Caenorhabditis elegans: one gene and its partner. The protein of the gene in region 2 purifies or fractionates together with the protein of the main gene of each other region. This does not show direct contact. Each region holds a gene or a part of one and is shown on either strand. Other genes may lie near its edges. The genes, in order: nssp-76 and T01G1.2.

Region 1 (3,413 bases), on a different chromosome or scaffold from region 2:
TCAATATGTACCGAAAGTATGTGGTTTTCTTTTTTAAATCTGATAAAACTATGGAATTCACGTCAAAATTTCAATACAACGTTTTCAAGGTGTCTCTGTGGCTTTGGAAAATAAAACTGCGAATATTCATTGTCAGATTGAGTTTTACAGTTTAGAAATCACAGAACAAATTCTGTTGAACAAATCTACATATTAAATTTTTGTAATGCAATTGAAACCGGCCAATTGAGAATTAGCTTCGGAATATTTGCCTCCAACTCTAAATGTTTCCAACTAAACCCTGCCTTGCGGCAGTTTTCTTGAAATCAGCTTATATATTTGTTGATAGATATTGCGTCTACCACAAAAAACTTAAAGCAATATTACATCTAAAAATTGTACTTAAAACTCCATTTTATAGTAACATACAAGTAATTTTATTATAAAAATATAATTGGATTAAATGAAGAAATGCTTTTGTTAACTGGTGCTCAAGTTAAACAATTAAATAGCTGTTAGCAAACATTTCCAAATTTCTCTATTAGAACAATTCTAAAATATTTGAAAGGACATCTTGAATACTACAAAGTGATTTATTAAAAACAATTTTTGAAAATGAAATGATAACCCGTTACAACAAAAATGACAAAAACAATATTTGCATGCTATTAAATTTAGCGATGTAAAATTAAAAAGAAAAACTTGTTTGAAGAAGAAAGCACCATGTAAAGGGAAGTTTGAGTGGTTTGATTTCTATGTGGCATATCAATTAATGTTCAATAATACTGGGAAAATAATAAGAATAGAGGTGAAAAGAGCTAGGGAAGTTTGTCGAACCGAGTTGCACATGTCATCAGCACAGCAGCAGATTTCACCTTTCTTACCGTAATCTCTGCTTTTCCGGCAATATTCTCCAGTCTTCTTTTGTTGCCATCCAGTGTAAGTTGGATCGTCGATTCCTTGGCAATCCACTTTATCGCATCCCATCGAGTATCCATTCTTCTTTCTTTCATCTGGGTCCGAATATGTTGCCCTCACACAATATTGCGAAGAAGTGTGGCAAATGTCTGGATTGATTCTTAGTAAGTGACCATCTTCCCAAATTCGATGGTACAGTCGACACTTCAAAGCATTCGTACCGAAATTGGAAATAGCAGCGAATAAAACGAGCAAAACAAGGACACGTCGGCAGTGCGGCATGGATGCTTCTTTGACTAGAAGTGAAATGTGGGGCTTCATGAATATGTTAGTCCGGGCACTATATGTCGCAAAGGCACGAGAATGTACAACCCCAAAATGGGCGGAGATAAAAACAGAAAAGCATGATATATCAGAAGAATGTCGCCATTTCACGCTATTTTTAGGGAGCTTCTGAGCATCGAAAAAAGCTTGGGGGAGAATGGAAAAGTGTGACCGGAGATCTCAGAACTGTGACAAAAATAATGTTTGGTTCAAAAGTTCATGAAAATGAAATTTCTCTATTCCGTTTTCTGTTAAATCTTATGCTATAACAAATTTTAAGTTAATTAGTCTTGTTATTAATTTAAAATTATTTTTCTGAAAGAGCAGTAAACATTGTGCTGAAATTGAATGAATTTTGTATTGGAAATTTTAAAAAATGTCCGCACATTTTTCATGACAGTTTAAAGTTAAAAAAGGCCTAATTTCAGCTAAAAACTCCAATTTTGACCACTCTTCCATGTCGCAGAGGTCCGAGGTTAATTTTTTCTTGTTTGCATTTCAATGCATATTTTGGTGGTTTATCTAGTGTTTTTTGTTGATCAAGGCTACTTGAAACTGATAGGTAACTAAAAAGGATCGACATTAGTTACTTATCCGCTTTAAATGTACCTTAATCAACAAAATTTTATGAGATAAACTACCAAAATATGCAATAGAGGATGATTATTCAAAAAAGTCAACGTTTGGATCACTGCTACCCGAAAAAGTGGCGAAAATTTGAGATTTCAGCTTAAACTATGCTATATTTTAGATCATTTTTAACTGCCATAAAAAAATTATAAAAACCTTTTTTGAAGCTTTATTACGATAATTGTTCATTGCAATACATTTTCAAAATATGTTCAAACTGTAATATGATCTACTCTTAATAAGATTATTAAGGGAAATTATGAAAAACTGCCAACAACTACGCAAAATATCAAAATCAGGGACCTAGCCCAGCAGCTACACAGAACTGCTTGTTTCAGAATGGTAATCAATTTTTTTGAAACTAAAACTAATTAAAATCTAAGAATTAATAACATAAAAGTAAATGTTTGTTTGGTCGGAAAATATGATTTATTCTTGTGTGAAATTGCAAAACTTGCCTAAAATAGTGTTTGAAATTGGCAGGTTGCCGAAATTGCCAGTTGTTGGCACTTTTTTGGCAACTGGCAACTTACCAACACTATTTGACATCTTTTTGAAACTTTTCCATAGCCTTATTTTTTTCGAATTAACTAAATTATTCGGCTTACTTCTCTTTAAAATTTGAATTTAACTGTGTGACAGTAGAACTCAAAATAATAGCTTGAAATTAGTTTGTAAATTCCTTCTATAAACGTTTTAATATGACCCTGTAAAACAGAATTGAACAAAAAACCACCATCAAGATGAAATTTCAATCGTTTAATTTTGCAAAGATTTACATTTTTTCAACCCAGTTGCTTTGAAGAAAACAACTTATTTTCATAAAATATTGGGTATTTTTTATTCATGTTTTTTCTGGTTCTCAAATCAAAAACCTATCGTAGTTAAAATAAATCGCAAAAAAAATCAGAACACGAAACCGCATTTTTAAAAATGTTCAAATAAACCAAACTTACATATATAACCCATTTTGTTTGTTTCGGTGTATTATGTTTTTATTTACGCGTATATATATGCCTTTGTAAATTGAATGTTTAACATTTCTGTACTTTTTTAAAATTCATTTATTTGTAAGTTATCCCGGTGAAAATTAAATGCATTTTAAAATTAGTTCAAATGAGTTTTGCAAACCAAGTTTACTTATATCATGCCCGTTAGACAGCCCGTTGCATTTTGCAAAAAATGATGCTCTTTCAAAACATGTTAAGAAATCATTCTAAAATTGAAATAGTAAAAACACCGGATTGTTTTTCCTGTAAAGCAAAGCATTCTTGCTCATTCACCACAATGCCACATTATTGTGCTTCTTCGTTTCACAGTCTGCACAACAAAAACCCAATCATTCACGTGTTTCTGAACCTTGTTTTGTTTTTGGGAACCAAGCAGCTTCACACCACATTTAAGGAAAAGATTCATGTACACCAAGAGACGTGGAAAAAAAAGAAGAAGAAGTAAGAAACACAAAGGAGTACTGGAAAGCAAATGAACGGTGGGTGTTGTGTGGGAAAAAGACAAGGATAAATAGACATGAAAAAAAAGATGCGGAAAAACGTTTTTTTTTT
Region 2 (3,057 bases):
TAGGCTGAGAGCAGGAGAAACGATGGAAAAAAGTATCTATTCTGAGCTGTGTTAGGCTGACGAGTCGTCAGTAGAGCAAGCGGCAGATCAGGCAATCAGCAGAGCTCCTGGAGCCAAAGGTTGTTCTCAACAGAAGACTCTTTGTGTTCTAAGGTTACCGAAGCAGAACTTGACAACTTTTGATCTAGACATTCGAAATTGAACCAAGTACAGTAACCCGTACGGTGTTTTTCTTCGAAAAGTCCGGGTTCAGAAAAATGAGCCCATCCATCCCCAGTGTGCTCCTCAATTCTTTTTGCGTGCTCACTCAACCGATGCCTAATTTCAATTCGCAACTCATCCTTCTCCTTCTTTTTCTTCATCTTCTATTTCGACTGAGTGTTTGTATGTCCGAATTGATGAACCCCTCTAGCACTTCTTCTCCCTCCATTTCTTTACTCAGCTTTTTATTCTCAACTTCTTGAAATGGAAACTTCTTTTTTAAATGTCAATTCCACGAAGAACAATTTCTTTTCAAACTTCTGGTAGTGACACATCTACTGTAGTGTATCTATATTATAATTTGCATATCCTAGTCTAGTTTCTCTGAGATGCATTTTTTTTGATTTTCAACAAAGAAAGATTGTTTTCAACGAAAGACCTTTCTGTTTACCTCACATATCATTTGATTTCTAGGAACACAAGTTCATTTTCTTTATATAGCGTGTGGTTATAGTACGCATTTGAATATTTCATGAATTTTTTTTTCCGAAATTCTGAAAAGATCAAGTCGTAAATATTGCATATTTCGCTTTTTCGATTCGGTCTCCTCTTCACATTTAGTGTGTTAATAGTCATAGGTTCTCATGAAAACAACCGAGTCAAACCAAGACCCAGAATTGGAAAACAGCTGAAATTTTGATGAAGACAATGGCATCTAGAACGGGTAAACTCGGCCTAATCTAGTCTAGACCATCTTACTTGAATCCGAAAATAGCCTATAGTTTTTGGATTACTGTAGATCTATGGATAATCACACAAAACTTTATCAAATTTCGATGCGAATCCAAAATTGATAAAATGAAACTTTGGTGTAGGATATTAAACTAGAATATCATTATTTTTCCACTAATTTCCATCAAAAACAATCCAGAGACCCTCCAGAGTCGTTATCTCTTTTCTTTCACTTCTCTGAACCTCAAATAAAGATAAAGAGCATACACGAGGAGTGAGCACACATCATCATGTCTTCTTTGAGATGTGCCTGAGACTGAAGAAAGATACTAAGAGTGATAGAGTGTGAAAAGAGGAAAAGAGCATCGTCTCGTGTGATGATGATGATGATGATGGCCACATTAGCTCCGCCTCCATCACTCGTTTTTCCTCCGGTTTTCTTTTTGACTTTATACTGGTCTTTTTTTCTTTGAAATTTTTTGAAAGTTTAAACCTAGTGAACATCTAGAATCATATGATCAATCCCATCAACAACGATCAACAATGTTTTACGAAGCACTTTAATGTTTCAATTGGCTTATTTTTATATCTCAGTCTACATCCAAAATTCATATCACTCGTTTTTTTTTCAGTTTCACTCAAGTGTTGCCCGAAATGACGTCGAACGATAGATCAAATAAGCTGAATGAGAAGCGTACCAGTGTTCAGATGAAGACAAGTTTCTCCCAAGAAGTATATAAAACTCCGATCAAGCAAATTCTTACTGCACCATCACAATCCCACTCACGAATCACACCAGGTGGACAGGTGAGTTGAAAACTTTCAGAAAAGAACATTTTTGAACGTTTTTCAGCTCTTCTTATGTGTGATGGGACTATTGATAAGTGTTGCGATCAGCATCTGGTTAGCCGCATTTAGTCGTGAAAATGGATGGCGTCGAGCTGTCTTCGCATCGGCCGCTGGTATCTGTGCGATTCTCTTCATGCTTCTCACTATCATGACCTACAGAAGAGCGAAAAAGTAATATTCAGATAGATTTCTTATCCAATTTCCAATTACTAATACTTTCAGCCCACAAGAACCGGAGCCACTTCCAGATCTTTCACAACGTCGATCTACAATCGGAGCACGAGTTAGTAAACGATCAATTGCGGCGGGAATGAGCGCAGACGACTGTCCAACGCAGGTTAGTATTTCTAGTAAATACAAAATAATTTTATTTCAATAATTTATATATTCCAGGTCTTAGTCACTGGAACACGTGGTTCCATTCCATCCTAATCATCTCACGGATCACCTTTTTCAACTTCACTCTATTCTTTTTTGTCCATATCGGGTAGCGATCATCAAAACAACACTCTTAATTTCTTCCTTCCCCCCACTCAATCAAATTTAAAAAGATAAACTCAAAAATCTAATTTTTCTGTTTTTTTTTGCGAAAAAAACATTCACTTCATTCCCTTTTCCCTCCTTTTCTGAAAATTTTCCATTTTTCATTTGTTTGTATCATTTGTTCCCCCTTCTTCGGTTCATATCCGAATTCTTCCGAAATTTCCATTTTTAACCCGTTTTGTGCACGATTTTTAAATATTTTATTTTTTGCAAATAAATAAGCTTTTGAATATACTCTTACCTCATCAACATCGCAAATTAGTTTTTGTTGATATGTGATTTGATCTTGAACATATTGAAGCTTCTGTTTTGCACTGTCAATTGCTTCTAAAAGTCCATCACGATAAATTACATCTTGTGATTGAGTGAATTGCTTTTCCTGAAAAATATTTAAATTTTAAACAATGTCAGTTTTTCAATCTTTTGAAAAAATACCGACATTTCAATAATTTTCAAAGTAATCCAGATTTTTTTTCCGATAAAACCGATAAACAATCATTTTAAATTTTTTCAGATTTTTAAAATAAAAATTTTTTGAAATTCGTTTTTTCGCTTATACGATACTTTCGAAAAAAAGTAAAATATTGGTCATTTTTCTTTTTTTCAGAAGTAAATTATGTTTTTTCACCAACTAAAACAAAATTTGATGAAACATTTGTTTTTCAAAAATCGAAAATTTTCTTTCTCCAATTTGCAATTTTTCGATGATTTTTTTTTGTGAAATCTGTTTTT

What was found.
Region 1: the proteins of T01G1.2 (region 2) and nssp-76 fractionate together in Caenorhabditis elegans (co-fractionation; one large-scale study listed by BioGRID). This does not show direct contact.

The regions. Positions count from the first base shown.
Region 1 is NC_003284.9:2,442,226-2,445,638, forward strand, and holds nssp-76 (Activin_recp domain-containing protein), read right to left. Parts: upstream 1,180-3,413; coding exon 745-1,179; downstream 1-744.
Region 2 is NC_003282.8:11,352,849-11,355,905, forward strand, and holds T01G1.2 (uncharacterized protein), read left to right. Parts: upstream 1-1,559; 5' UTR 1,560-1,587; coding exon 1,588-1,740; intron 1,741-1,786; coding exon 1,787-1,953; intron 1,954-2,004; coding exon 2,005-2,119; intron 2,120-2,175; coding exon 2,176-2,214; 3' UTR 2,215-2,557; downstream 2,558-3,057. Other genes in the region: Kinesin-like protein klp-12, read right to left, coding at 2,567-2,704.